2 linked regions of the Diceros bicornis minor genome follow. The protein of the gene in region 2 purifies or fractionates together with the protein of the main gene of each other region. This does not show direct contact. Links are inferred from orthologs where the notes say so. Each region holds a gene or a part of one and is shown on either strand. Other genes may lie near its edges.

The links.
Region 1: the proteins of AGO4 (region 2) and TNRC6A purify together in Homo sapiens (co-immunoprecipitation; 4 studies listed by BioGRID and IntAct, with this or other methods). This does not show direct contact. The link is inferred for Diceros bicornis minor from reciprocal best matches to the Homo sapiens genes AGO4 and TNRC6A.

What each region holds. Positions count from the first base shown.
Region 1 is NC_080765.1:27,280,454-27,296,656, reverse strand, and holds the start of TNRC6A (trinucleotide repeat-containing gene 6A protein), read left to right. Parts: upstream 1-9,038; 5' UTR 9,039-9,162; coding exon 9,163-9,167; intron 9,168-9,532; coding exon 9,533-9,580; intron 9,581-16,203.
Region 2 is NC_080752.1:50,073,012-50,089,742, reverse strand, and holds the start of AGO4 (protein argonaute-4), read right to left. Parts: upstream 6,991-16,731; 5' UTR 6,723-6,990; coding exon 6,704-6,722; intron 1,473-6,703; coding exon 1,307-1,472; intron 1-1,306.

The sequences.
Region 1 (16,203 bases), on a different chromosome or scaffold from region 2:
TCTCCAAGTTCTCTAATCCTAATCTTTCTGCAATGTCTAATCTGATGTAAATCCCACTCAGCGTATTTTTCTTCTCACCTGTTGTAGTTTTCATCTCCAGAAGTTTGATTTAGGTCTTTAAAAAAACTTATCTTACAGGTCTCTACTTAACCTTTAGAACATATGGAATACAGTCTTAATAACTGTTTGTAATGTCCATTCCTCCTTGTTTTAGCATCTGTGTCATTTCTGAGTCAATTTCAATTGATCAATTTTTCCCTTCATTTTAATCACATTTTCCTACTTTTTTGCATATCTGGTAATTTTCTACTAGATGCCAGATATTATGAATTTTACCTTGTTGGGTGTTGAATATTTCTGTGTTCATATAAATGTTCTTAAGTTTTGTTCTGGGAGATAGTTAAGTTACCTGAAAACAGTTGGAACCTTTTAGAGCTTTCTTTTAAACTTTATTGGGTAGTGCCAGAGCACTGTTTGTTTAGAGCTAATTTTGTCCCACTACTGCTGCAAAACCCTCCTGAGTGAGTATTCCACCTGATATTCCACTTGATGCCCCAGGTTTTCTACTCTGGTTCTTGGGAACAGGAACTATTCCAAGCTCTCTGTGAGCCCCAGAAAATGTTCCTTCCAATCCTTTTGGGTGGTTCTTTCCCAATCTTGAGTAGTTTTATGACATTCATCACTGTTCAGTTCTCAGCTAAAGACCCAACCATGACTCTCTGCAGATCTCGGGAGCTCTCCATCTGTGTGGTTCTCTCCTCTGGTAGTCTGACCTGTGAACTCTAGCCACCTTGACCTCTCCAGACTCTCAGCTACATTGTCTCAACTCAGAGAATTCACTCTGCTTGGGTTCTCCCTTGATGTAGCACCCCACCATTGCCTGGAAACTCCTTAGTCAGTAATCTAGAGCAATCATAGGGTTCCCTTCATTTGTTTCGCATCTCTCAGGGATCACTGTCTTTAGTTACTTGATGTTCAATGTCTTGAAAACTGTTGTTTCATAAATTTTGTCTGTATTGTTAGCTGTTTCAAGAGGGAGGGTGAATATAGTTTTGGTTGCTCCATCTTAGTTGGAAGTGGATGTTTACTAAATGAATGTTTAATAAATGAATGATGTACATTGTTCCTCATCCAATGTTTAATAAACAAATGATATACATTGCTCTATACATATAGTTTCCTATTTTAATGAGTAGGTTATACTCCCTTACTATCATTCTTTATTTTAATGTTCAAATTATCCTAAATTTGGTCAGTGGGTATAAAACATTTTTAAATATAAAACTGCTTCATGCAGCATTTCTCCACCAAAATTAATGGACTGAGAGTGAAGGAAGTTGGCCCTCAAGGAAAAGCGGGGTGCCATTCTCACTTGTTCCATTCAGAGAAAAAAGCAGAGAAACAACAGATTATTTTAACAGTGAATGTTGCCCTAGTAAGAGGTAGAAGCACCCACTTTATCCTCAACAAAACAGTAAAGGTGCCTGGTGGATCTGGTGGGAGACAAGAGCATCATGGAAAGAATGTTGTTTGCATCTGTCAGATAAAGCAAAACCCAGCAGATCTAAGAAACCAAACAGATCTCTAAGAGAATCTAGTTTTTGCTGGTAGTCAAGATGGTAATAAGCAGGTGTCTGGGAAAACAATGATGCACCTTGACATACATTATGGAATTGCTTGGAAGAAAGACAACGTTTATTTTTCACCATTCAACAAATATTAATTTAATGTTTAATTCCTCCTGGGCACGGCTCTAGATACGGGACTGCAACACTGAACACAGCAGATAAGTCCCCACACTTGGGGGCCTTACAAGCCAGCAGTGCCTGGATAAAATGAGTTATCTCATGAGACCACGTGGGATTCCAGCCCTAAATGCTCAAGAGTTTTTTTCTAGAGGGCTGAATTTCCACCTGAATAGGAGGGGACAAGAGTCAGTGAAGTCTTAAGTTAGTACTGGTACTTGAGTCCCATTTACATGGGTATGAGGTGCAGAGAAGCTCAGGGAAGGCTTGTCAAAGGAGGTAACATGTGAACTGAGCTTTGAAGTGGGAGTTTGTTAGGTAGACATAATAGAAGAGGTGTTCCACTAAGAGGAAATAACATGTGCAAGTCATAGAGGCATTGAACAACAAGAGAAAATGGCAATAATTCAATATCATTTGAACACAAAATAAGAATTCTAAGAAATTGGGCAGGTTAGGTAGTAAGAGTTCTTGAAGAGCCTTTTATACTAGACAAGGGGTTTCAGACAGTATTCTATAGACTATAGAGAGCCATTAGAATTGTAAGCTGCAGCAAGACCTGATCAGCTGTATTTGTTAGAAAGACCATTGGGGTGGTAGTGTGGATATTTGGATAGAGGGAGGTGAGCCAAGCATGGAGAAATCACTCCTTCATTTAATAAGTATTGTTAAGGGCCTTAATTTTTATTAGGCATTGTGCTAGATGCTACAGATAACAGGAGAACAAGACAGACACGGTCCTTGCTCTGCTGGAGCTTACAAAGAATCTGGAGAATCAAAGATTAAACAAACAATGACAGAAATACTACATTACAAACGTAATCACTCTTGAAGAAGAAGTAGAGGATCCCTTTAGAATATGTGATTGGGACTCCTAATGGCGTCCAGCAGGTGATGGTCAGAAAAGTCTTTCCTGAAAAAGTTACACAGGGGTTGAGAGCTGAAGGATGGTTAGGAGCAGTCTGGGTGAGGGAGCTGGGCACCTTTTAGAAAAAGAACAAAGAGCTCTTGTATTTTCTAGAGCTTGTGAGCAAGGGGGAGTGAGTGGAGCTAACACTGGGGAGACACTGCAGATCATGTTAAAAATATTAGGCTCTGAATCAAGAGCCCTGGAAAGCCTTTGAATTATTTTAAGCTGGAGATTGAGATGATCAAGTTTTCATTTTAAGAAAAATCGCTAAGGCTGCTGTATGGAGAATGGTTTCAAGAGGCAAAGAGTGAATGTGTACAATGCTGGCCAGGATGTAGAGCAACCGGAACTTTTCCTGGGATTGGAAATGTAACCCGGGGTCACCATTTTAGAAGCATTTTATAGTTTCTTATATAGCTAAATAGACACTTATCCTGTGACTCAGTAATTCTATTCCTAGCTATTTATCCAAGAGAAATAAAAACATATGTCTACTGTCCACAAAAAAGACTTGTACAAGAACGTTCATAGCAGTTTTATTCATAATAACCCCGAAGTGGAAACAACCCAAATGTCAATGAACAGGAGGGTGGTAAACAAACTTTGGTACATTCATTCAATGGAATACTTCTCAATAATAAAAAGGAATGAACTTCTAATACATGCAACAACATGAATGACCCTCAGAGACATTAAGTTCAGCAAGAGAAGCCAGGCACAAAAGGATATATACTGTATGATTCCATTTATATGAGGTTCTAGAACAGACAGTACTAATTTATAGTGATATAAATCAGAAGAGTGGTTTCCTGGTGTCAGGGGGGTGTGTGTGTCAGTGCGGGGGAGGGCAGGGAGCAGATAAGTGATGAAAAGGGGCACAAGGGCATTTCCTGGGGTGACAGAAGTGTTCTATACATTGATTGCAGTAATGGTTACATAAGTGTGTTTATTTGTCAAAACTCATTGAATTTTTCACTTTAAATGTGTGCACTTTATTGTATGCAAAATATACCACAACCAGAAAAAAAAAAAAAAGAGGAAGAAAAAGAATCTGTGGAGTTTTCAGAGTGTACTGAGGGTGGCAGTGGAGAAGCAGAGGAAGGAAAGAATAAGTGAAGTTCGGAAACAAAATAACTTATTGATGCACGGATGCAGGGGAGGGAAGAGTCAAAACTGACTCAGGTTTCTGGCTGCGGCAGCTTGGTAACTGGTAGTGTTATACCGACGTGGAGAAAACTGTCCATTTTGGGGCAGGTTTGTGTGTGGTGGGGGGAGAGGGACAGAGAAGGAATAAGGAGACTAAATTTTGACCCGTCAGTCTGAGAGGCACCACGTGGCCCCCTTATACTAGACTTAATCCTGTTAATCCTACCTTTCTAGATTCTTCACTGGAGTATCAGACTTCCTCAGCATTCCTTCCTCTGCTCTTTTCTCACTCCATAGCAATGGTTCTCAACAAAGTAATACTTCACCTCCCCTCCACAGAGGGGTTGGGGAAACCAGTGAAGTGTTTTTGGTTGTCACAAAAAGGTGGGGCTGTGCTATTAAGTTTCAGTGGATAGGCGCCACGGATGCCAGACAGCGATAGTCCCACACAATAGAGAACTCCCCCTCTCACTGAACACTCACATAGGCAAAAGGCATGTTTATAATTATCTGAGGACCTAACACCTCACTTTGTCAGTCTTAATATACCCTAAAATTTCCAGTAATGCAATTACCACGTAAATCGAGGGAGAATTGTTTTCTAGTGGTTCAGAACTTGACTGAGAGTTGTTTTCTCTTCCAGATAAATTACGTCTCCAACATCACTACAGTTTTTGGCGTATTGGTAATCAATCCCACACTGCTGTGTCAGTCTGCATTTGTAGTAGTGATTCTACACATAGCTGTCAGCATCTGCCTACTTTACTGTGTCTTCCAGTGTAGACATTCTCAAGCATTTACATAGTGAAAGACATTTTATTTTGCTATACTTACTTTTCTCTTCTTTCTCCTTTATGTCAGTGATAAGTCATTATATATGATTTTTAAATTATGTTTTAGATAGATTATATTATCTATGATTATCATTTTGGAATAGTAAGGGGTAGTGTTACAAAGTATTTCTCATCAAAAGGGGCTGCAGCATCTAATATGGTTGAGAAAAACCGATCTACAATATAGTGGTTAGTGATCTGGGCTCCGGAGCCAAAATGCTTGGTTTTACCACTTACTATTTAGGTAACTTTGGCCAAGTTAATTATTGTCATCTGTAAAACGGGGCTAACATCCTCCCTCATAGGGCTGTGTGAGCACAACAATAACGATTAGTTAATATTTGTAAAGCACTTAGAACAGCACATGACTGGCACATATTAAGTACCAAATAAATTTTAGTTAGATAAAATAAATACGGTCTCTCCAGGAAATCTTATGCATGTTCATGTCTTCAATTTCCATTTATACATTATTGCAGAAAATTTCCTAAATTTAAAAATATTTTGAGTGAGCTTTGCCTAAAAAAATACATGTATATCTCAACATGGTATTTGGTAGAGCCTTAGGAGAAAAGAATGCTTTTCTTTCAAGTACATAATTTTCCAAGTATTAGGCTAATCATTCACCTTTCTCAGGAAGACAAAGAAGAGAGGGTTGAAGAACATTTATGTTCTGGTAAAATCAGAAACCAACGGAACGAAAAACCCAAGGAAGAAAGACAAGTGGCAAAAAGGTTTTAAGTTTAAATTTGTACAGCCTCTGTTTCTTATTATGGTCACTAAGAAGCAACAAGAAGCTTCCTAAGATAGTTACAGATTCTTCCTAAGCTATTCCATAGAAAGTTACTGTAGGAAAGACATTTAATGTTATATACAAATTCTCGAACTGTAAACCTCAACCATGAGGCAAGGAAAATACTCTAATATTCACTTAATCTAGAAAATATGCCTGTTGTAGGAAATGGCATTTGCTTACTCAAATGAGCTGTGTTAATGAAACCCATTACTCTACAGAGGACCTTGTTTCTGGTTTTGTTCCTAATTGATTATGCAAGTAAAATAAAAATGGTGGCTCCACTGGATTTAAAGCCAAATACAATAGGAAGCCTGTTTTCATTCACAATGAGGACCCATAAATTTAAACCTCCAGCCTGAGACCCCTCCTTTGCTGTTCCCTGGATCCTGAGTTGGCTGCCCCTCATCCTTCAGCTCTCAACTGAAGCTTTACACTGTCAAAGAAACCCTGTTTGACCACACAATCTGTGTCATCTTCTTTTGTTTTACACTTTCTTAGAGCAACAGTTCTTTCCTTCTGTGCACTTGTCATAATTTTTACTTATAAGCTTTATAGTTTTCTTAAAAAAAAATCTGTCTCCTGCATTAGACTTAATCCACCAGAAAGGTTCCTTACAAGTGCCAGAGAACCAGGCCCTAGTACATTTCCTAGTACATAGCAGGTGCTCAATAAATATGTGTTGCCCGGGGGAAGTGTCATTTTGGCATTCTAGGGTACACAGTTGAGATAGGGGCTAAAGATATGAATGTGAGAGTCATCTGCATTTAGATAGTATTTAAATACAGGAGAATGGATGAGATCACTCATTCTAAGGAGAAAGTGGAGATGAGACAGGGAAAAGTCTTGAACAGAGCCTTGGGGACCTCCAACATTTAATAGGCATAAAGCAAGAGATGCTGGCAAAGGAAACAAAACAAAGGAATGGCTAGAGAGGTAAAAAGAAATTCAGGAGAATGTGCTGCCAAGACAGCCAGGAAAAGAGACCTTCTTAAGAAGGTGGGGGTGGGTAGTTGTGGCAAATACAGCTAAGAAATAAATGAAGATCAGAATAGAAATGTTACCATTGAGTTTGCGGCTTCTAGGTCATTTGTGACCTTGATAAGAGTGATTTTGAGGGAGAAGTGAGGGATGTCAGCTTAGAGTGAGTTGGGAAAGGAGGTGCTGGAAGCAGCTGGCGTAGAACACTTTTTCAAGAAGCTTTGCTGGGAAGGAGAGCAAAACAATGAAGCTGGAGAGGAATGAAGCATCAACAAAGTTGTTTTGGTTTTGTTTGCATTTTTTTTTTTTTTAGTGGAAGTTACTAGAATATGTTTGTATGGTGATGGGAAATATTCAATATAAAGAGAGATTAATTATTTAATAAAGAGAAAGAATGACAAGAGGAGAAGATCCCTTAGTAGGTTCCTGATAAGGAATCAGTGCTGATCTTATATTGTCATTCTTCTTTGACCTACCCTTATGCACCAAGTTTAAGTAAGAGATCATTAAAAAGTGATTAGTTTGACTTCATAATGCAGCCCTGAAGGGGTCATATGGGACATGTCAACCACTCTGGAAAGAACTTCAAGAAATTCTATCTCCTCAGTTTCCCTGGGGCTGGGAATTAGTTCCAGTGTTTCTCAACCTTGTGTGCTATTGGCATTTTGGTTCAAATGCTCTTGTGTCGTGGGGGACTGTTCTGTGCATTGTAGGATGTTTAGCAGGATTCCTGGCCTCTACTCACTAGATAACCGGTAGCATCCAGTTGTGACAACCAAAAACCAGCCATTGCTAAATGTCCTTTGGGGGGGATGTGTGCAAAATTGCCCCAATTGAGAACCACTGAGTTATTCAAACCTAAGAAAGTCTAACAACAACAACAACAAACCAGCTAATCTTACCTGTGTAAATGTTGATAAATACTACTGTTTTCATTGCCTTATGCTGTTGTGGAAAATTATTCATGAACCTGGTGTGAAAGCCTATTGTGCTATACATACATGTTAGTATTTTTTAACTCCTAAAGAGATACTGTAATATAATTTTTAACATTTTAGTAGAAAGAACAATAAAAGAAAACCAAACCAAATACATGTATGGATGAATCAACCTTAGGGATGATGGCAGGAAAAGGAAAGTCACTAGCATGTATTGGTGGTCCCTACATTTTATATTTTGTAAACTTGATTTAAAAAAACCTTTTTTCACATGCTCATTGTATAAAAATGAAACAAACAAAAAACCCCCCAAAAGCCAGATACATTAAGAGAAGAAAATTAAAAACCTCATAATGTCATCAGTTAATATTTTGGTGCATATGCTTTAGGACTTTCTGTGCATCCATCCATTCATTTATTCATTAACTTATTTATTACACATCTCCCTCAAAGTGGTTAGGAACCAGGCAGTGAAGGCGATTTTGTTTTTTTTTAATGGGAGAGATTTGGGCATGTTCTCAAGCCAGTGGAAGGACCTATTTAGAAAGAGGAAAATGGTATGATCCATAGAGTGAGGTTTCCGAGAAGGAATGAATTTTAAGCAGAAGAGGATTTATCTTTAGGAAAAAAAAGCATTGTGAGAGGATGGAAAAAATACACACATATTACACAGGGATATATGTATCTTATTGTATCTACATGTATGTATATTGCTGTATCTACCTGTAGGTATGTAAGCATCTTGTATCCACATGTAGGTATTATTTTTTAACTTTATCTACACGTATGTATCTTACTGTGTCTATATGTTTTTTTACCATGTGAGCCACTTTTGGTACCTGCTTTTTCACCTTTTCTACTGTAACCATTTTCCCCATTCCGTTAGTCTTCCTCCACATCATTTTTACAGTATCCTAAGGCATACCAGGAGTTCGGTTTTTAAGGCCACCTCCTAATGTTGGACATTTTAGCCGTTTACAGTTTTTACTATCATCAATGCCCGGACTTGATATCTTGGCGGTGTAATATTCGCAGATAACTCAGATTATTTTCTGAACAGAAATTCGGGCAAGTGGAATTGTCGAGTCAATGGTCTGCAAAATTCGGTAGATACAAATCGCTTTTAAACCTCACCGCCCGCCTCAGGTACGCATTCTTTACCTGCGGAGGAAACAGAGAAGCAGGGAGGTTAAATAATTGGCCCAAGGTCAAAAATGATTAGAAGTGGCGGATTTCAAAAGCCGGAGCGGGCTCATCACCCTGCAGCAAGGGTAGAATTTGCGGTTTAGGCGATTTTTTTTTTTTTTTTTTGATGTGTGTGTCAGTGGGGGAGGGGCCGGGTGGCAGGGAAGGAAACTTGTGTCGCAGCAAAGAAGGAGGAGGAGGGGAGGGACTCGAGTCAGATCAGAGGCGGCCGCGGCGAGAAAGGCTGGGCTCGGGGCTCGGCGGGCCCCCCAGCCGCTCCGCGGGGCGCCTCGGAGGCTGTGAGGCCCGCCAGGGAGGTCCGGCGGGGGGCCGCGCGCCGCGCCCGGGCGGTTGCCAAGGGCCTGCCCCGTCTGCGGGTCCAGTTGCTAGGGCCTCCATCTTGAGGCCGCCGGCCGCGGCGCCCCCGGAAGGGGTTGCCGAGTGGGGCATTCACTTCCGGTCTGAGGCCTGCGGCGGCTGTGGCGGCGGCGGCGGCGGCGGCGGCGGCAGCGGGTCGGTGTAGAAAATGGCGCTGGTGCAGCGGCTCGGGCCTCTCCCCGCGGCGCTGCGGAGGGCTTGAGGCTCGCGAGCCTCACTCGCCGCGCCCCACTTGCTCGTGCACTTTACACACATGAGGTGAGCGGGGCGGGGGCCTCCCTCCGGGCGGGAGGAGCCTCGGGCGCTGCCGCAGGGCCCGCGACTGGGGGCGGCGGCGGCGGCGCCGGGCGTCCCGGGGACCTCGGGGCTTGGCGGGGGGCGCGGGCGGCGCCGCTGCGGAGGCCGGGCGGCAGGCCCGGAGGGGCCGCGCTGCGCCGCTGGGGCCGGGCCGGGGGCTGCGGCTCGCCCGCGCCGCCTGCCCGCAGTCCGGGCTGCAGCCCCGCAGCTTTGTGAGCCCCCCCGGGCGCCCCTCCCCTCCCCCATCCGGCTCCGGCGCGAGCCTCTGCCGCAGCAGCTCCGTTTTCACGCGCATCTCTCACTCTTTCTTTTCTTTTCTGTTCCAGAGAATTGGAAGCTAAAGCTACCAAAGACGTAGAAAGGAATCTTAGCAGGTAAGATGGGCGAGCTTTCCGTCTCTCGCCCCGTTAATCGTGTATTTCCACTCTGGTTCGCCCTTTCTGGGGTTATAAGTTCCCCCGTGTCATTTTCTTTCGCACGCAGGGGACAGGCATTCGGGAGAAGAGGCCAGAGGGAATATTGGATGGAGGGATTCCGGGGAGATGCGTAATTACGCGTGTGTTCCTTTCTTTGTGGGGGGGGAACAGCGAAAAGCAATTCTTGTAAACTTAGTTAAAGCATTCTTACCCTTTTAGAATTTAATTAGGGGACTTGTGCATTAATTACTATTGTAAATGGTTGCAGGCATTGTGTGACTCATGATTGAGGCGGCCCTTATGGCGGGCTGTCAAACTGTTTTGGCTTCCCCGTTATTACTTTGTAACTCAAATTGTTGCCCTTATAAAAAGATACTATGTGTTCGCATTTTTTTCAGCACATTGTAGTCAGGCGGGTTCTGTTGCAGTGGAAACAGTTTTGCCCTTGAACTTTACCAAGCATAAACTGTTTTGTTTTTTTTTTTGAAACTACGTTTGTGTCTACGTTCGATGTGTGCCCTTTTAATAGCCGGTAAAATAATTAAAAACCTGTTCCCATTAAGTGGTTATCATTGCTTTTGGGCCTGAGTGCTTTTGCACTGGTATCTTAAATCATCGCCACAAAGGGAGTTTTTTGTTTTTTAAACGATGCCTTCATGGAAATATTCAGCGTTATTGAGCTGTAATTGCTTAAGCATCAGGGCATTGCACTGGATTTAACTCTTTTTCACATTCATGTTGTCTTACAGTCTTTTCCTTTCTTATTCGCCGTTTTCTTTTGCATCATATTGGGACACTCGAGAAACTTCTAGATTAATTTAATCAGTGAGCAGCTTTCACTTGGATAGAATGAAATAAAATTTCTCCTATCTCAGTTCTTAATATAATTTGTGCTTGATGACTGTTTTTAGATTTATGTTGAGGTTTATTAACACTCACAAATCAAATCGTCTGGTTACTTTTCACCACATAGAATCATTCCAAATTGCTGGTCTTTTGAGTTTTATAGATATTAATCTGTTAAGGTGATCATTAAAGAATCTGTTTGGTTGGTGAAGGATGGGCATTATTGGCTTACCAAATAAGAGATTTTTTTGTTATTCAGAATAATTATGGGATCATTTAAAGGAAATTAACCCTGACATCACTGACTAAGTAACTGTTCATTGGACATTTAAGTAAGTTTTATTGTCAAAAGTTATTAAATGTTAAGATATGAAACCATGAAAGAAAACAGGTTGAGTTTTTAAGGTGTAATTTCAGCAGCAGAAAGGAGCTTGGAGTTTGGGTCTGTTTCTCCTTCCATTTTTGCTTTGTCAGGTAATTGTATCAGTATAATTCCTATGGAGGTTTTCTGGGACTTAATTAAAAATTGTGTCTACCACAGGTATAATTTTTATATACTATTACAGTTGGATAGAACTTGGAGTTTCTGTATCGGAATTTGAATCCCAGCTCTGCCACTTACAATATGACCTTGACTCTTGGCAAATCACTTAGCCTCTGTGCCTAATCTATAAAACAGAGGTTTGGGCCAGCCAGTTGCAAAGGTCTGTAGGCCCTTGGGTTATGTAAAGGGAGTCACGGGAGTCATATAAAAAGGCCACAGAGAGCATGTACAATCTGGTAGGCAAACTAATAAGTATTAAATAACTAATACAAGGTCAGTGATGTAGGGATCAGAAGAAGATACCATCCCATTGATATACTTGAGGATCTTCAGTTGGTCAGAAGGAACGAAAAGGAAAAATAAGTGTCAAGGAGGTTACAAGGCAGTGTGTACTAAGGACCATGAGAGGGGAACATTTCCTAAAGGGTGAAAGTGTTCTGAGGAGGGAGAGATGTGATTAGGTGGGCAACTGCTTCCGTTCAATTCTCTCTAGTTCTATGCTTCCTTTTTCCCAGATAAGAAGAGTATATCTGTCTTGACCCATTCGTGCTCTCCCCAGGAAGTCAAGGCATTATTTTCCAATAAACATTTCTTGAGCATCTTCCATGTTCCAAGTGCGAGACTAGGCACTAGGGAGGGGAAGAATGGCAGTAGCTAAATTTATTGAATGCTTCTATCTGCCTTGACACTCTTTTCTGAAGACTTTACATGGACTCATCTGATCCCTGGAACACTGTGTGAGGTAGGTACTATTATCCTTGTTTTATGGATGAAGAATTTGGGACACCAAGAGGTTAAGGAACTTTCAGGAGGCCACACCACTGGTAAGTAATTGGAGGAGCTGTCGAGCTTTGAACTATATTGTATTGTCTCTTACTAGAGGCGTGGTTCTTTACATTGAAAAATTTGAAAATCTCCTTGGGGAGGCAGAACCCACAGATACGTGCAGTTCTTCTAGATCAGAGTTTCTTACCTGGGTACTGTTGATATTTTGGACCAGAAAATTTATTGTTGTGAAGTCTGCCCTGTGCATTGTGGGATGCTGGACAGCATCTGCCAGTGGCACTCCCCACCCAGTTGTGACAATCAAAAATGTGTTCAGATATTGCCAGATATCCCCTGGGGGGCAAGAGTCACCCCCAGTTGAGAACCACTGTTTTAGATCTTTACATTTCGTGAAGATAACTGAAGATTTGGATTTTTAAGGTGAAATCTTTAAATGTTAAATTAATTTAAACTTTTTTTTGGGGGGTGGGGGTGAGATCAGCCCTGAGCTAACATCCATGCCAGTCCTCCTCTTTTTGCTGAGGAAGACCTGCTCTGAGCTAACATACATTGTCAATTCTTCTTCTTTTTTTTTTTTTCCCTTTTTCTCCCCAAAGCCCCAGTAGATAGTTGTATGTCATAGTTGCACATCCTTCTAGTTGCCGTATGTGGGACGGACGCCGCCTCAGCATGGCCGGAGAAGCGGTGCGTCGGTGTGCGCTCGGGATCCGAACCGGGTCTGCCAGTGGCGGAGCGTGTACACTTAACTGCCAAGCCACGGGGCAGGCCCCAATTTAAACGTTTTAATACCATGAAAGTCCAAACTCTATTTTGTGGACCGCTAGTTTGGAAGCTCTGTCTCTGAATATCAGAGATGTATTTCCATTCTCCTTTTCCTCTGCAAAGCTGCAAATCCTCCTCAAGACAGTGTGCCAGGTAGCCAGTGCCATTTAAACAAAATTGGCACAAAAGATAAATTTAGTTTACTACCCTAGGTAAACTCTTTCTTAATTCACTGTTGGCCATTAAAATTGTCACTTTATAGTCAGTGTCATGGGTGTTCAAAAGAGGGAACTATAATGTCTACATGGGAGTTCTCACCGTTGGAACTGAACTTTAAAGAATGGAATCAATTTTGAAAAGCAGAGAAAAGGGTAGTGTAAGAAGAGGAGCAGAAAAAAGGCACAAAATCCAGAAAGTACAGGGAATTTTTAAATAGCAGTGAGTAGTTCATTGGATTGGCATATAAAGTTGGGAGCAGATGCAGAGGTTCTTAAATATCAGGTTGAGGAATTTTTACATGAATCTTTAGATAGTGGGGAGCTATTGTATGTTTTTGGGTGGGTAGTGATATGATAGAATAATGATAACTAGTGATCTAGGCAAGACCTGAATTAAAGTGGTGGTAGGAAAGAGGGGCGAGTGTGAGATACTGGGGAAGTAGAATCTGGGATTTGGCTGCTGACTAATCTGGGATTAGTTGTGAGAGGAGTCTAAATACACAGGGGTCTTGGGTGAATGGGAGATTGACCTAGCCTCTGAACAGGTCAGAACAGAAATAGGACTTTCTGTAGAGAAGGTGATGTTACACTTTCCAGTTGTAAAAAATCTCTTCTAGTCTAACTCAACTGATGTAATTTTTAAAAATATTTTGGAGGCCAAAGCTATAGAATCATTGAGTATTTAGAGCTGGACCATGACATTAAATAGAGACTAGCCAGTATTCTGACCCTTTCATTTTACAAATGAGAAAGCTATGATTGAGACAGATCCAGTAACTTAGTCAAGGTTATATTCTCTAACAAGTGACAGAGTTGGGATTCAAACAGGCCTTTTGGCTCATGATAACTATAGGGTTCTTCCAACTATGCAGTATTTTATTTTATATTGCACTATAGAAAAAAGAAAACTTTAGCTTCTTTCTTTCTGAAAATGTAAGAACAATGATCTTAACCATATTTTGTGCCCATTCTGGTAATGAATTTACTGTAATGTAGGGTATATTATTTAAAGTAGAAGTTAACATGCTTCATGTTATGCTGATTCTTTTTTTCCCCAAACTCAGTTATTAAATGCCATTATACAACAACAGTTAAAGATGATGTAGTACCATATAATGTAGCATCTAAACTGGAACACCTTTATCTGAGACTCTTTTGCCTGGGACAAATGCTATTAAATAAGAAAAGACTAGGGACGACAGGAGTAAACCAGGGCATTCGTTTTCTCTAGATGAGGTGGACCCTGCTCTTGAAATTCATCAACCTTTATCTGAAAAAAAAGTTATCTTCTGATTTCGTTAAGCTTTTCTGTTGCTTTCCTGTGATACGGTTAGTAGGCCAGCAAATTCATATTGGTAAGTTTCTTTCTAGCTTAATTTGGCAGCTTTGTGGTAATTAATTGATAGAATAAACGAATCACAAACTGTAAGCTTAATTTTAAAATGTGTAACAACCCTCTGTGGCAAATTTAAATATAAACATCATTAAAAAATCTGAGATCCATTGTATAACCTCTTGTGAATTTTGGCATCTGAAGTACGTCTGCAAGTATAAATTAAAGTCCTTACAGTTCTGTTTTATGACAGCCTCAAAAGTATTGCCCATGATTGGGGAGACTAAAGTAGATGTGTGCCGTATATATTCTGCTCAGACCGATGACTTAGGACAAGTCTCTCACTCAAAATCAAGAAAATGTCCTCCCATTTAAAATTTCTTAAAAAATCATTCTAACCTTCAGCGAAGTAGCAACAATAGTGTGCATTGAACACCTGTATCTCTGTCTAGGTTTACTGATTATTAGTATTTTGCCACATTTATTTTATCATGCCACTTCACCCCTAAATAAGACAACGTGTGTCTCCCAAGAACAAGGGCATTCTACATAACAACAGTTAAATTATCATGCACAGGGAAGTTTAACTTTGTTACAATACTCTTCAGTCTGTATTCAAATTGTTCCAATAATGTCTTTTTAAATATGGGTATTCTTTTCCCTCAGTTCCTTAATCCAGGATTGCATTTAGTTTTCTTGTCTGTAATTTCCTTACATCAGATACAGTTCCTTATCCTTTTCTTCCCCTTTCATGACATTTACATTTTGGAATAGTCCAGGCTAGTTTCTGCAGGCTTCAGTTTGGATTTATCTGATTGTTTCTGTAGCATTAGATTCAGGTTAAACCTTTTTGGCAGAAACATCACATAAGTGATGTGTTTGTCCTGAGGACACCACATCGGGCTCCCTCCCTCACCATTTTTAAGCAAATTAACTGGAAGTTTACCCAGTACTTTTACTTTTGCACTAACTCAATGTTTCTTTTGTTTTAGGTTATGCCAAGCAATTAGTTTAAACTGAGATATAATTTTAAATAGTTTCCTGGTCTTCTAATCACAGGTCTTCATGTTTAAATTGATCAATTGTAGTGATTGCAGCTTTTTCAAAGGTTATTGTTAGACATAAAAGTTGCTTGTTTTCAGCTTTCACCAGTGATAAACTGGTAACCCTGGTAAGAAAATGAAACATAGGTCCTGGACGTGTGATATGCATTCTTAAAAAGAATGCCCCGTTGAAGTGAGAGTGACATTGTGCCACCAGAACAGGGGTTCTCATCCTGGATTCCACAGAGGGACCACACATAGTATGAAGTAGTTTGAAAAATTATATGTGTGCTTTAAGAGAGATGGTCCTTAGCATTTATCAGATTTCAAAGGGTCTGGCTCCCCAAAGATTAAGAAATATTGTGTTATGGGGAGGATGTCAGAGGAGCGAAATAGTATCAATAAAAAGGAGATTTTAAGATTCAAAAGCGAGAAAGTAACATCCGACTAAGGCATAGTTTCTTTCTTCAAAAAAAAAAAAAAAAGCACCATGAAAATAAATATAGCTTAAACTTCCTATTAAGGTGGTCTTATTTTTAAAATGATTTGCATACTGTGTGTGTGAGTTGGCTATGAAGCAGAAATCCTAGCTTTTCTACTCTTGTAACTAGGGAAAAGCATTTTGAATTTTCAGCAGTAGTATGTTATGTGATAATGACTCAGCTGACTTCCGTTTCAAATGGAATGTTCAAAACAGATTGAAACCTGGTTAAGGGATTTTATACTTTGAACCTTAGAAATATTTTCTGCAAACAGCGATTGATTGGATTTTGTATAACAACAAACAAGGTTAAGCCAAGTCACTTGTTGTGTTGTTCTTACTAGTGGTTTTGAGTCAGCTAGCATTTATTGAGCAGCTTGCCGCAGTGATACTGAATATTTTTATAATTTTGGCATCTGTGTTTTGTTGACTTTGGTCCCTTCTTTCTCTTACTCTTTTGAAGTATCCCCCTAAAACACAAGGAAATAGTGCTGTGTGGTGCTTAAATATGCACTGATTTAAATGTATTTTTAAGCATTACTTCACTCTTTGACCATACAAAGGGTGT
Region 2 (16,731 bases):
AACGCTAAAGACTATGTATGATAGGACCTTTTGGAGTTTCCCTAACCTCATCTCCTGTCACTCACTCCAGCAATACAGGCCTATCTGCTGTTCCCTGAATATACTGTGCAAGCTGCTGCCTCTGCCTGGAATTCTCTTCACCCAGATACTGCTCACCTCCTCTAGGTTTGTCCTCAAATGTCACTTTTCAGTGAGGCCTTTCCTAACTAAACTATTAAAACAACCATTCTATTAAAATATTATATATATTTAATATATATTACATATATATAATATATATATAATATCTCAGTGGCTCACCCCCACCCCCATTCCCTATCTTCCATCCCTGCTTTATTTTTCTTCACGGCACTTATCACTAACAAGTAATATGTTTTGTTTGTTTATTCATTTATTTTTGGTCTTTTCCCCCATAAGAATATAAGCTCCTTAGGGGTAAGAACTTCTGTCTGTTTTGTTCATGTCGTATTCCCAGAAAATAGAACAATACCTGGCACATAGTAAGCATCCAAGAAAATATTAGTTAAATGGATTAATGTTAGCTATGAACATCACTTCTATTACAATTGATCTCAGTTATACAATAACCAAACAATTATGGGCTTGCATGAGATTGAACTGTACCAGAAAGCCAAATTATTGATCTATAATGAGAAAAAAAAATCAAGCAGTATAAAACATTTCACTTGACAGCAAGGGCATTCTTAGAAAAGCAAGAATCTTAATATCAAGGACTGCTTGACTATCACAATGTGGAAACAGAAAAGGAAAGTGGGTATTCTCAGTGCACTGTAAGAATATCTATTACAGGACTATGTCTTCACACTTGGTAAATTCCTCCCATACAGACCACGATGGTTAAATTGTATCATCTAGACCCCTCTTGGATAACGCTAGAATTAAACAGATCTCTCTAAGCTTACGTTTTTCAATACTCCAAGATGATTCTGTCTTTATACTTATATTTTGCTCATGTCTAATACCACTACTTAATAAAATTTGAATTTCCAGATAGTTCTATTTCCCATATTCCCTATTCTTATAAATTTCTGCTACCCTTGGACAATGAAAGAGTGACCTTTCTTCTTCATTCAATACGTATTTACTGATTGAACAATGATGTATCCAGCACTCTGCTAGAATCTGTGGAGGAAACCTAAGTATGAGACAGCAAACCTGCTATTAAGAAACTCACCATCTCAGAGAAAAATAAAGCCTACATGTTGAAAGAATTTAGAGAACAATATGATACATAATAAATTATGTGTATTTAAATATATTGAAGTCTACTCATTCTAATCCTTACCTGTTGACTCTACGAGGCCGTTTTTCTGGTTTAATATCCACATCATAGTGATACACATCTATTTTAGGAATCTGAACCTGAAAATGATTGGCTAACAGTCGAATCGGTTTTCCAACAGTTCCAAGGCCAGGACGACGAGGTGGCTGAAACAGGCTGGTTGGAGGTCCTAAAAAGACAGAAAAACATTTGACGTGCTATTTGGTCATGAAGGATAATATTCCCTTCATGATCATGATGGTAATAATAACAATAGCAACAATTATTAAGATCTTATGATTCACTGAACATATTCTGACATAAAGAGTTTGGAGTGTCTTTTGACATAAACTTCTCTAGATTTCTAAATATTTTGCCATGTTGCTGTTATTTTGAATATGGGGGACATCAAAATTAGATAGTATGATGAACTCCTCTCAGAGGTAGGCTACTGTACAAAACCTTTTATGAGCATCAGTAGATCTATACCTAGGCTTACAAAATTATATGCATTTTAAAACAAGACCATCTCTAAATTCTGGGGGCCATCACCTTGTTCAGGGTGGAGATGATCCATTAATCCTCCACAAATTAGCCTGCATTATTTTAGTTTGTACAGACAGGAGGAGATTAAACAGCTGCTATATTTATCAATTTACTTGCTAATTTAGAAGTGAAACAATACCAATAATGATATACTTTCTTGTTTATAACCTTGTATTTTTAGAATCTGGACAATAGATCATAAGGTCTAGTTTATTTATTTAACAAACATTTATTCATTTATTAAATGTCTAACCTGCACTATGGACTCAGGAAAAAGACAGAGCCTCTGCCTTGAAGGAACCTACAGTCTAGACCAGTGGTTTTCAAGCTGGGGGAGATTTTGTCCCCCAGAAAACATTTGGCAAATGTCTGGAGACATTTTTGGTTGTCACAGCTTGGGGGGTGCTACTGACATGTAGTGGGTAGGGGCTGAGGATACAGCTAAACATCCTACAATGCACAGGACAGCCCCCTCCCCCCCAACAAAGAAGTAACCAGTCCAAAATATCAATAGTGCTGAGGTTGAGAAACCCTGGTGTAGACGAGCAGTCTTTCCAAATTATTCCGTTGATGGTTCACAAGATTATTTCACACACACACAAAAAAAAAAGGATTCCATAAGCTAAAGAAACTGTATATTCCCTTCTTAAAATTCCAATGTACATTATCGTATTAAATTCTCTAACAAGTCACGTAATAAATAAACCTGCTTAACTTTAATTCATTGTTTACCCAACTTATTTTTCCCCAGAACTCTCTCTCTCTTTTTAAAATCAAACATCTACCAATATTCAGTAGATAAGGATTTGGGGAAACACAGTCTGGAAAATATTTGTCTACAGAAAACCTTACTCCTTCTTGATGATAACGTTAAGTGAACACTGGCCTAAAAAATAAACATCTTTTCTGCTATGAATAGGTGTTGAGTAAAATGGGCTGTGATTCCAATGGAAAGTTACAACATGTTCTCTTATTGCAATGGCATTTCACCAAGAACAAAGACAATCCACTAAGGAGAGAAAACTTCGAAGCAAGAAGCTGTTCTAGTCCAACATCACTTATGAAAATCAAAGCAAACACTTTAAGTAATTGTGTTAACATATCACCATATACTAATTCTTAAAGTACTGAAAATCTTTTCACATATTAAATTAATTGTTCACTCTTCCCCTAAATTCTACTCATCATTCAAAACTCAGGTCAAGTGTGACCTCCTTGGAAAGCCTTTCCGGAATCTCCTAGACTGTGGGATGCATCCTCTGTGTTCCCAAGACCCTCTGTATAAGGCAGCACTTAGCATAAGTACTTAGAAACAACTTGTTAATTACTCTGTCTCCTCCACTAGACTGTAAACTCTTAGAAGAAATGGATCTCAGGTTTATTGTTATCTCTCCCGTATTCAGTATTCAACAACTAGCACAATGTAGGAATTCAATAAACGTCGAGCTGAACAGTACCGATAATCCTTGTAGCAGTTCCAGATAGAAACTAAACAGAAACTCCGTCATTTCTAAAACCCAATAGCTGATAATTATTTTTCATTAAAGCAAAAAATTTATAATAAAAATATTATTATTGCTTGGAGTTGACTCCACTTCTTATGTACAAGGGGATCTACTCTGGGTGTGATGAGACATTTACAATCAAGGTAAGAGGTAAAAGGCATACTGAATTAACCCAATTAAATCATATAGATAAATCAGCCCTGCATATTGCAAGATACACTTAAGCAATCATTGTATCACAAATCCAGCTTTATGATAGAAATTTGGAAACAGAAATTTGGATCAAATGACTTGCCCAAGGACACATGACTTTGATTTTAAATCATGACTAGAATCTAGGTCTCCTAACTCCCAGTCCCATGCTTTTTCTTCCCGAATATACTTCACAAACCTATGGTATCTATATCTCTCTGAAGAACTTGATGCCCAAGGGACAGAAGCAGAGGAAATGAAAGAAAAGGGATTAAGAAGTGGAGAAAAGAAATGTGTTTCTTTTCCCTGGCAAGAGAGAAAAGTTAGAAGGTGAGTGACCAATTCTTTTAATAAATTTAGAAGATTTATTTAGAAAACTATATTCTAAAATTTTCCATTCCAAAAGCTGCTTTCTTTGAATTTAGCAAACTATTTATGAAGAAATAAAGCACAGTGGCTAAGGCTCTGGAACCAAACTGCCTGGGTTTCAATCCAGTTTTACCACTCTGTAACTGCATGACCTTGGGCTAGTTTCTTAGCCTCTCTATGGCTTAGTTTCCTCATCTATAAAATGGGGCAGGTATGGTAATAACAGCCTGTAGCTCATAAGGCTATTGTGAGGATCCCATGAGACAAGTATACAAAAGGCTTAACACAGTGCCTCTTAATAGTAAGTGCTCAATAAATGTTAGCTATATGATTGCACTTGCATAAGCGTTACCGGCAGTGATCAAAGATCCCTGGGCTTTATATTGGCAGCATCTCCAAAACTTGGTGACAAAGTTAGCAAATTACATCTTCCGAAAAGGAAACAAATAAGAATGAACAAAGACTGGATGAAGTCAGCCTTAAATGAAGAGGAGTGCATTAGACTAGAAGTTGGATGACCCAGACATCCTCATTTCACCACTCAGCCTTCAGACCTTGATGAAGTCACTTAAGCTCTCTGAACCTCTTTTCTCATCTGTAAAATGGGGATAATACATGCCTTGCCCACCTCACAGAGGATCAAATGAGCTAAGAGCTATGAAAGCACTTTTCAAACTGTAAAGCACTGTAAAAATAAAAGTTATCATTAATATAACCAAAATAAATGGAAATAAATATATTTCCAAGCTATTATTGTCAGAAACCGAAATGGGGTGAGGGAGAGCAGAGCAAGATGAAGAATGCTTCAATGATTGTTCAAGTGAGGAGAGCACAAGGCACTAGATCAGTGTGCTTTAACAAAGAAGCAGGAAAGGTTCTCTAGGTTCTACAACAGCCTGGATGAAATATCCCACAAGACTAGCAACTCCCTTTGTTCTGATTCTATGCTCAGCAAGCAGCTTCTTGTTATTAATTGGGTTTCCAAAGTACCGTGATACCAAAAAAGGAGTTTGCCAAACAGCAGACAAGAAAATGTTCCAGTCAACAGAAAAGATCTATGTGACATTTTGGTTTATTCCTTCGTGTCATATAAATGTGGTTAGTGAGAATTAATTTTCCACAATCCTGGGTGAACTGATAAGTCTTCAAACCTGCAAAAGCTAAAATCAAACAAAGAAAGAGTCTCTGGTATGTTCCTAACACCACCAGGTTGATCTTTTCCACGAAATTCAGTTTGTACACACAGTTACACAGTCTCTTTCAATATCAGCTCATAAATGCAACAGTTGCTTCAATTATGAGTTACTAACAGGAGAGGAGGGAAGAAACATTTTTTGAATATCTACAATGCATTAGGCCTACAATAAGACTTCTCACATACATTATCTCATTTCATTCTCACCACAAGCTTGCAGCACATAATTATTATTACCCTCATTTTATAGATGAGGAAATGAAAGTTCAAAGAAATTAAGTAATTTGCCCAAGGTTATACAACTATTAAATTATTAGATTGGATTTGAACAGAAGTCTGTTACATTCCTAAAGACCTGATCATGCCTTTAGCTGGGGGACACAGCTGAAGTAACCTAGCGTAATATTTACATTGGGCTTATCAAATAATATTAATATGACAAAACCAATTTATTTTTAAAAGCCATATGAAATTTGATCATGAGGGTCTTTAAAAAGTACTTTAAGTAGCAAATTAAGGTGGAGTTTAATCATTCAGCTATGTAAAAAAGTTCTAAGTAAACAAACCTGCAAACTTTCCAAATTCAAATGGTAAACAGAATTTTCTATGCACTGAAAAAATGAAATGCTGTACAACTAAGTCCACTATGTAGATAAGGTTTGATATTAAAGTTAATTCTATCACAGCCCCTAAACCCTGCCCTACTTAGCTAAGGCATTAGAAACCTGTTGGGGTTCAAGGTGGGAGCACCAGGCTCCAATCTGCAGGGCATTAGTTACAACCTGGAATGGTTCCTCTGGTTTGTGCAGAGTGGGAGAGAGAACCAGAGGCTCTTTATTGGTAAAGATGGGGAATTAGTTTCCAAAGGGCTTTCTTCTTCATTTGATCCTCACAACCAACCATAACCCAGTTAGAAGAAAACTCGGGGCATTAAAGCTTGTGCTGGAGCAGGCTGGCTGGTAACTGGCCTGTCACTAAAGCGCTAGCCCAGATTACTCTGGGACTGTCACACAGAATGACAGGACCATATTCAGAGACTTCAGGGCCTTAGAGAAAGGGTGGGTACTTTGCCCCTTGGCCTTCGGGGATCATGAGAAGTGTTTAGGGGAAGTTCTTCTTCTTCCTTATCTGAGGGCTCTAGACCATCTGCCAGGGCAAAGAAAAATAGGGGTGCGGCCCCAAACCAAGAATGCCCTGGTAGTGGGTGCGGGTCCTTCGCAGTGAGGTCCAGGCCAGGTCTCCGCTGAGCACCTGGCACAGACCGTCCCTTCTGAGGCCCAAACTGGCCTCGCCTCAACCTGGAGGACAGACCACCTCCTGAGGCTGGGTTTGGTCTCCCCTCTAGCTGGGGACGCGGGTCACCTTCCTGGGCCTCCCTCCCTTAGACCTCGAGATCGGCTCATTTCTCCAGGCTGGGGCGCGGTCCCCGCCCCCCGAGGCCCGGGTCAGCTCCCTTCGCCTTGTGCAATGGGACACGGGTCCCTTTCCCCGAGGCCTGACAGCCCGAGCCCAGGTACGCGCGAGCCGACGGGGGCGACAGGGAGCGACGGTCCCGCCCACCCGCCCACCGGTCCCGGGGCCCAGTCCCGGCCCCGGCCCGAGCGCGCTCCTCACCGGGTCCCAGCGCCTCCATGGCGGCGGCGGGGGCCGCCTCGCCCCGGTCCCCGGCGCCTCCCGCTCCGGGCCCCGCCGCCGCCGCCGCCGCGTAACGCTTGATCTCCGGAATTTTGGCGCTGGGGGGGGGGGCGCCGCGGAGACGCGGACGCTGGGCAGGGGGCGGCGGCGGCGCCCGGCCCGGGGACAGGGACCCGGCTCCTGCGGCTCTTCCGGCCTCAGCGACAACAAAAACAATCCCCGCCGCCGCCGCCGCTGCCAGCGGGAGCGGGAGCAGGAGCCAGCGCGCGCGCCCGAGGGGCGGGGAGGGGGCGTGGGGCTCGGGGCGCGCGCGGCCCGGGGTCCCGGCTCGCGGAGGGGTCGTGCGCGGCCCCGGGCGCCGGGTCCACCGAGCCCGGCGGGGGGCAGGGGGCGGGGCGGGGCGGGGGCGGGCGCGCGCCCGGAGCGGGCAGTGCCCCCAGGACGTGTCGGGTGCGCGCCTGCCCGCCCGCGCTGCCCTGTCCGCCCAGGGCGGCCCTCCCCGGCAAACGGCTCTGGGGGGCTATGTGCGGTCCTCCCAGAGCCTCCTGACGCAAGTGCCCTGCAGAAGATTGGGATTCAAGATCCCGCTGATCCACACAGTTCTCCCCTTCTGTGGGTGGAAAGTGTCCTGAGTTTCACATCGGGCACCTCTCCTCCTTCCTCCCACCTCAAACTACTTATTTCTCCTCTTTCTCCACTGTCCTGGGACAGAGAACACCAGGGTCACTACAGACGCAGCTCTTTTCCTCCACTTCTTCATGCAACACCACACACCCAGTTGCCCTTCCCTCCCCATGCTGCCAGAAAGCACCACGGGAATAGACCACGATGAATGATGCATTCTCTCCCTGGTCCATGACAAGCACCTCTGGTCAGCAAGTCACCAGTTGCTTCAGAAGAGAAAAATCTTTCTTTCCCGGATGACTTCACTTTAGCAGCCACGAGCCAAGGGAACAACACTCTCGCCAAGGCAGCATGGTCAGTCCAGCAGGCCCAGCATCCTTGGGGCTTTTAGATGGGACTTTGAGTTAGAGAATATAGGACTACAGGCCAAGAAGCAGTTTCTAGTCAGCAGAATGAAGGAGCCCTCTGTCCGCCAGTTTAAAAGGTACAATGTGTATGTGTTGTATTGGTTTGCTAGGGCTGCCATTACAAAGAACTACAGACTGAGTGACTTAAACAACAGAAATTTATTTTCTCATAGTTCTGGAGGCTAGACATCCAAGATCAACGATTGGTTTCTTCTGAGGTCTCTCTCTTTGGCTTGTAGGTGGCCATCTTCTCCCTGTGTCTTCACATGGTCTTCCCTCTGTACATGTTTGTGTCCAAATTTCCTCTTATAAGGACATCAGTCGTGTTGGACTAGGGCCCACCTTACAGTCTTCATTTTAACTTAATTACCTCTTTGAAGACCCTATATCTAAATACAGTCACATTCTGAGGTACTTGGGGTTAGGATTTTGACATGAATTTTGAGGGGGACACAATTCAGCCCATAACGTGTGTAGTGAGATATTCATTTGAGCACCTACCATGTGCAGCCATAGAGCCAAGTAACTTTTGTATGTAATGATAAAAAATATTAGGAGCACACCATGGCCAGGCACTGTATTATGGGCTTCACATGTCATTTAATCTTCACAGCCACCTATAAGGTAGATATTATTAAGAAAGGTATTTGTAAAGATGAAGAAACTGAAGCTCGGGGAAGCTAAGGAAGTCAGCACGCATTATATGATACAGCAGTGAAGCATGGAAAAATTGGAGTTCTAAATCTTGCATTACAGTCTTGGCCAATTCCATCCCTGATGGGCTATGGCACTGAGACTTTTTTTTTTTTAAGTTTTATTTATTTATTTTTTCCCCCAAAGCCCCAGTAGATAGTTGTATGTCACAGCTGCACATCCCTCTAGTCGCTGCATGTGGGACGCGGCCTCAGCATGGCCGGAGAAGCGGTGCGTCGGTGCGCGCCCGGGATTCGAACCCTGGGCCGCCAGCAGCGGAGCGCGCACATCATTGAGACTTTTAATGAAGTGTAGATTCTAGTCTACTGATACCATAGTCCAAGTTCGTTCCATAGCACCATGCTACTTCTCCATTAAACCAGATATAAACTGGAAACAATAATAGGAGACAGAAAGTTTGAAGGGGAGGAAGTATTCACTAACTGAACAGACTGGTTTACAGCTAAGAGGCTAAGAAAAAACAACTAGAGGTCAAGTTTTGAGTTAAACCTAGTAGCCACTTCCCTTCTTCTCCACTCCAGGCTAAATTCTTCTCACAGTTGAAACAGTGCTGGTGCTTCCAGCCTGGTTTGAAGCTGACTTTCCCACTCTCACTTCCTGACAAATTTTCCCCATATTCTATTTGCTACCCTGTGCAGAGACCGTAGCTTGTTTCCTGTACTGAAAATAGCCTCGGAAACCTGAGTATGAAATGTATTTACCCCACAGTTTCAGTCGAGACTGCATTGCCTCAATCCCTGATCATCTCAAACTCTGATCACCTACATTCTCATTCCAAAACTCACTTCCACTCAGGCACCCACGGCCCCCTTCCCAAAGACCCTTCTGACTGAACCCTCCCAAACCTAAGTTCTATAGTCAATAAACTCCCTTAAACCTCAGCCAGTGCAGCAAGCCCTCCCTCTACTTCCTGCTGTGGCTGAGAAGCCATGCCCCAGAATACCACTTCCCCCTCAGTTCTCTCTGATGGTGGTTGCTCATTCCCCCACACCCCACACGTCTACAGGATAGGGTGGGGGGTGGGTAGAGAATCGGCGATATATTTGCCCCCATTGCACCAAACCTTGAATTCTCATTCTCCTATTAAAACCACTTGCCATCTGGCCAAACCACCACAGGGCCTTCCTTGGTGGTATAATTAACTCAGCTCCTGGTCTTATGTCTCAGTCCAGGCCTGGCTCCCTTTGCATTATAAATCCTTGAGGGAAGGACTTATGCCTTACTCAGGTATTCAGCTTTGTGTTTCTGTTGCGTAACACATTACCTGGCACCAAATGTCTATTCAGGGAAATTTATGGAATGAATGAATGAGCAAGTAATGTATAAATAGTGGGAGCTAGAAATGGTCTAGTGGAGGGGCCTAGGTGAAAAACTCTTGGTGAACTTTCAGCTTCTCCAGGGCATACTTTCGAATCAGATGGTCCTGGTTCAAATCCCAGTTCTACAACATACTAGCTCTAAGTACCTGGGACAAGTCCCTTCACTTAACTGCTCAAAGATGTTGTGAGGAGGAAGTTAAATCGTATATGTGCACATTCCTGTGTGTCTGGCACGGAGTAAGTACCCAATACTTACTAATTCCCTTCCCTTCACTCTTTTTTCCCAGCTAAAAGCTGCTCCTCTGCCTCTGTCTTGCTGTCCCTTGAGAGACAGTGAGTTCAAGGTCTCAGCTCAGTCCAAGAGAGGGGCGCAGGGCCTTCAGGGACTGGGCATGTTTACATGCCCTGTGCCTGAGCCACCTGAGGACAGGGACTTGGCTCACCCATCTGAGGATGAGAGCCAGAACATACTCAAGGTTTATGAATGAAACTGAACTTCTTGAATGTGTCAATTCTCGCCTGAGACCAGATTGAGCCGGAGAGAGCCTCGCTAGTGGACACCGTGCCAGAAGGCAGGCCTCCAGCGACCCACGCTGCTTTATTCCAACCCTCCTCTGGGCCACTGGTCTGTGTTGGTGTTTTGACTCCCCGGCCTCACCTCACCTACTAAAGTTCCGCAAGTCTGGAGCTTAGAAGTAGAGGAGGAGCTTCTTTGCAATTAATCAATTGGGCCAGGGGCTTTCACTTTTCTTTAGCTGGGGAACCCCTTATTCAAACAAAAATCTTAAGTGGGAGCTGAAGTAGAGCCATTCTGGCTGAGAAGGACAGGGACCTGCATTAACACTACTGAACTAGAGACACCACCTGGCATCCAAATAGAATTTCTGCCCACCTGCTCCTACTCCATCGACAGCCTTGCTCTTTTGCATATATTTTTTTTTTTTGCTGAGGAAGACCGGCCCTGAGCTAACATCTATTGCCAATCCTCCTCCTTTTTTTTCCCCTTTTTCTCTCCAAAGCCCCAGTAGATAGTTGTATGTCATCGTTGCACATCCTTCTAGTTGCTGTATATGGGACGCCGCCTCAGCATGGCTGGAGAAGCGGTGCGTCGGTGCACGCCCGGGATCCGAACCCGGGCCGCCAGTAGCAGAGCGCACGCACCTAACTGCTAAGCCACGGGGCTGGCCTCCCTTTTGCATTTTTTTAATTGAGACATGATTCACATACCATAAAATTCACCATTTTAAAGTGTAAAATTTAGTGGTTTTTAGTGTATTCACAAGGTTGTGCAATCACCACCACTATCTAATTCCAAAACATTTTCATCACTCCGAAAAGAAACTTGTACCCATTAACAAGCAGTCACTCCTCATTCCTTCTTCTCCCCAGCCCCGGGCAACCACTAATTTACATTTTCTCTGTATGGATTTGCCTATTCTGGACATTTCATAAAAATGGAATCATACAATATGTGGTCTTTTGTATCTACTTTCTTTCACTTAGCATAATGTTTTCAAGGTTCAAATAACATTCCATTGTATGTATACATCATATTTTATTTATCCATTCATTGATGGACATTTGGGTTGTTTCCACTTTTGGGCTATAATAATGCTACTATGAACATTTCTCTCTTTCTTTTTTTCTTTTTTTGGTGAGGAGGATCAGCCCTGAGCTAACATCCATGCCAATCCTCCTCTTTTTGCTGAGGAAGACTGGCCCTGGGCTAACATCCGTGGCCATCTTCCTCCACTTTATATGGGACGCTGCCACAGCACGGCCTGACAAGCGGTGCATCAGTGCCCGCCCGGGATCCGAACCTGGGTTGCCAGCAGTGGAGTGCACACACTTAACCGCTACACCACAAGGCTGGCCCCTGCTATGAACATTTCTGTACCAGTTTTTGTGTAGATATAAGTTTTCAATTCTTTTGGCTATATACCTGGGTGTAGAATTGCTGGATTATATGGTAACTCAACTTATTGAGGAACTGTTTTCCACAATGGCTATACTATTTTACATTCTCATCAGCAACGTATGAGGGTTCTAATTTCTCCTCATTCTCGCCAACACTTGTTCTTTTCAGATTTACAAAAAAATTGTAGCTATCCTCGTGGGTATGAAATGGTATCTCACTGTGGATTTGGTTTGCATTTCCCTAAGGACTAAGGATGTTGAGCATCTATTGATGTACCTATTGGCCATTTGTATATTTTCTTTGAAGAAATGTTGATTTAAATCCTCTGCCCTTTTAAAAATTGGGTTATCTTTTTTATCATTCGGTTGTAGGAATACTTTATACATTGTAGATATTAAGTCCCTTATCAGATATATGATGTGCAAAACTTTTCTCCCATATTGTGGGATGTCCTTTCACTTTCTTTATGGTGTCTTTGAAGCACAGAAGTTTTTAATTTAGAAGAAGTCCAATTTTTCTTTGATTGCTTGTGCTTTTTTGTTATCATATCTAAGAAACCTAATTCAAGGTTATGAAGATTTATTCCTGTGTTGTCTTCTAAGAGGTTTATAGTTTTAGCTCTTACATTTAGGTCTTTGATCTATTATGAGTTAACTTTTATATATGATGTGAGGAAGTGGTTCAAATTCGTTCTTTTGCATGTGAATACCCAGTTGTTCAAGCACCATTTGTTGAAGACTATTCTTTCTCCCAATGAATAGTCTAGTACCCTTGTTAAAATCAATCCACTGTAAATATAAATGTTTATTTCTGGATGCTCAATTCTAGTCTCTCAATCTTACATCTGTTGTTATGCTAGTATCACACTGTCTTGATTACTGTAGGTTTGTAGTAAGTTTTGAAATCAGGAAGTGTAAGTCTTCCAACTTTGTTCTTCTTTTTCAAGGTTGTTCTGGCTATTTTGGGTCTCTTACATTTCTATATGAATTTTAGGATCAGCTTGTCCATTTCTGCAAAAAAAAAAAAGGCAGTTGGAATTTTGATAGGGATTGCATTGAATCTGTAGATCAGTTTCTGGAGTATTGCCATCTTAACAATATGAAGTATTCCAATCCATGAACACGGGATATCCTTGCATTTATTAAGGTCTTTTTAAATTCCTTTCAACAATTTTTTGTAGTTTTCAGGGTACAAATCTTACAGTTCTTTGGTTAAATTTATTCCTAAGTATTTTATTTTTTTTAGTGCTATTGCAAATGGAATTTATTTTCTTCATTTCGTTTTTGGATTGTTCATTGCTAATGTATAGAAATACAACTGATTTTTTATATTAATCTTGTATCCATAACTTTACTGAATTTGCTTATTACCTCTAGCAGTTTTGTTTGTGTGGATTTTTTAGTGTTTTCTATATATAAGATCATGTTATCTGCAAATAGAGATAGTTTTACTTCTTCTTTTCCAATATGGATGCTTTCTATTTTATATTCTTGTTTAATTGCCCTGGCTAGAACTTCCAGTACAATGTTGAATAGAAGTGGCCCTGTTTTTGTATTTTGCAGGTAGTTTTCTACATATTCATGGTCTAGGGGCCAGAAATGGAGAGACTTGGCAACTATATTTGATTTTGCCATCTTTGTCAATGAGACAGCATGGCTAGCAAGGAAAGCAATGCATGAGGCTTGATAAACAAATCAATTAATATGTTTGTTTTTACTTTCAGCCTTTATTTCTACTACACATTTTAACCAGGACAATTGATTTTTCTTTCTCTTCTTCAAGATGAAGCAAAGGGAATGAATTAGGGAATGAGATAAACCTGGACTTGAATTCCAATTCTATGTTGTAATTCTCAAATTTCAATTCTAGAGGCCATGTGATATTGAGTAAGTCACCTCACCTCTCTGAACCTCAGCTTCCTCATCCGTAAAACAGAGATGACACTAACTGCTTCATAGAGTTATTGAGAGGATCAAAGAAGATAATGAATGGAAAACACCTAACACAGTGCCTGGCACTTAGAAAGGGCTCAAAAAATGCCCAATCCTGTTGACTTCCTCTCCAGCCCTGAATAAGCCTCCTTTATTCGTAGGTTAGAGAAAATAACGAATTTTAAAAAGACTTTTCTAATACCCAGAGTAGTTTAATAAAGGAAGGGTTCTAGGGAAGTAGTGAGCTCTAGGCTCCAGGGGGTGTTCAAGCGTCTTTGAGATGACAAAAAGGTAAGGTCAGATGATTTTTGTGGTTCCTTAGAGTCTATTAAGTTATGTGAAAATATTTATTGACTTACGTGTTATTCAAATTTTTTTCAGCAACTATTTATTGAGTATCTACCATGTGCCAGACCCTGTGCTAGGTAATGGGAATACAAGAGTGAGCCAGAGAAGCTGAGTTCCTGTCCTCATGGAGTTCACAGTCTTGAAGTGAGACTAACAATAAAAAGAAAACAAACGAAAATGAAAGAATAAGGTAATTACAAACTGTGATGAGAGCTGTAGAATAAATAAACAAAATGGGATAGAGTACCTAGGGGGGCCACTTCTGGGAATAGCAGAAAGGGATAGCCTCTCTGATACAGTGACATTTGAGCTGAGAACTTGTGGTGATTTTAAACATGGCCACGAATTCTTTGACATTTCACCCATTAAGAGGTGGGGTCTGTGTCCCCTCCCTTTGAATATGAGTGGGCTTGTGGCCACTTTGACCCATAGAAAACTGCAGAATTGATGCCATGTGACTTCCACAGCTAGGTCATAAAGGTCATATAGTGTTTACCTTGCTTGCTGGAGCCCTCTCTCTGGGAGCCCAAAGCTGCCATACAAGAAGCCTGACTACATTGGGGCCGCCACGTTAGAGAGGTCATGTGTAGTTGCTCCAGTTGGCCATACCAGCTAAGACCAGCTTTCCAGTTGTTCCTGCTAAGGTGCCACACACATGAGTAAAAAAGCCTCTAGATGATTCCAGCCACCAGCCATTTGAGTCACCCCCATCTATTTGAGTCTTGCTAGCTGAGGCTCCAAACATTGCTGAACAGGGACAAACCCTTTCCACTATTATTTTTCTGAATTCCTGACCCACAGAATTCATGAGCATAATAAAATGGTTGTTTCCTTTTTTTTTTTTTTTTGGTGAGGAAGATTGGCCCTGAGCTAACATCCATTGCCAATCTTCCTCTTTTTGCTGAGGAAGATTAGCCCTGAGCTAACATCTGTGCCAATCTTCCTCTACTTTGTATGTGGGACGCCGCCACAGCATGGCTTGATGAGCGGTGCGTAGGTCCACGCCCAGGATTCAAACCTGCAAAGCCCAGGCTGCCAAATTGGAGTGCTCAAACTTAACCACTATGCCACCGGGCCAGCCCCTCCTTTTTTTTTCAATTGAGATATAGGTGACATAAATGTTATATTAGTTTCAGGTGTACAACATAATGATTTGATATTTGTATATATTGTGAAATAATCACCACAATAAATCTAGTTAACATCCTTTACCACACGTAGTTACAAATATCTTTTTCTTGTGATGAGAACTTTGAAGATCTACTCTCTTAGCAACTTTCAAATATACAACACAGTATTATTAACCATTGTCACTATGCTGTACATTACATCCCCAGGGCTTATTTATTTTATAACTGGAAATTTGTATCTTTTGACCCCCTTTATCCATTTTGCCCACCCCAATCCCCCACCTCTGGCAGCCATCAATCTGTTCTCTGTATCTAGTTCAGTTTTTTGTTTTTCTTTTTTTTAGATTCCACATATAAGTGAGATCATATGGTATTTGTCTTTCTCTGTCTGACTTATTTCACTTAGCATAGTGCCCTCATGGTCTACCCATGTCGCAAATGGCAAGATTTTCTTCTTTTTTATGGACTGAATAATACTTCATTGTATATATATATATATACCACATTTGCTTTATCCATTCATTCATTGATGGACACTTAGGTTGCTTCCATGTCTTGACTATTATATATAATGCTGCAGTGAATATGGCGGGGGGGGGGGTACATATATCTTTTTGAGTTAGTGTTTTTGTTTCCTTTGGATAAATACCCAGAAGTGGAATTGCTGGATCATATGGTAGTTATATCTTTAATTTTTAAAGGAACCTCTGTACTGTTTTCCATAGTGGCTGCACCGATTTACATTCCCACCAACAGTGCACACAGGTTCTCTTTTCTCCACATCCTCGCCAATGCTTGTTACAAAATGGTTGTTTCTTTATGCCACTAATTTTGAGGGTGATTTGATACCCAGCAATAGAAAACTATAACAGCAACAGGTAAGTTTCTTTTCCTTTCCATTCCCAATTCTGAATCTCCCTCCTGCAAGTATGAATGACCTAAAGGTTGTAAAGAGAAAGAGGAAAAGGAAGGCAATAAAGGGAAAGCAGAGCAGGAGGAGATAGAAAAGGTGGAGGAAGAGGTTGAGAAGGAGCTTGAGGAGGAAGAGGAAGAGCATGAGGAGGAGAAGGAGTAGGAGAATGAGAAGTAAGTCTCCATGATACTAAAGCAATGTGTGTATGTGGGAGAAGACAATTAGATTCTCTTCTTGGGGTTGTAGCTAGTGGAAAGTCTTGAAGGCAGGGAACCTGCCTCCTTTATTTCTGCAACCCTAATATTTAGTACAGAGAAAAGGACCTTTGTACTTGCAAGCTGGGATAGTTAACTGGATCATCTACACATGGCATCTCCAGCATGGTGGCCCCAGGGTAATCAGACTTCATACATAGCTGCTCAAAGCTCCCACAAAGTGTTCCAGTGAGCAAAGTGGAGGCTGCATGGCCTTTTATGACCTAGCCTCAGAAGTCATATAGTATCACTTCCATCATTTTCTGTTGGTCAAAGCATACACAAACCCACCCATATTCAAGTGGAGGGGATGTAGACCCTACCTCTTCATGAAAGGGATGTCAAAAAATTTATTGCCATACTTTAAAACCACCACAGTTGCTATGGTTAAGAAGCTTGGAGGGAGAGGAAGAAGCCTGAAAACTGAAAGCTAGGAGATTTGCAAACTT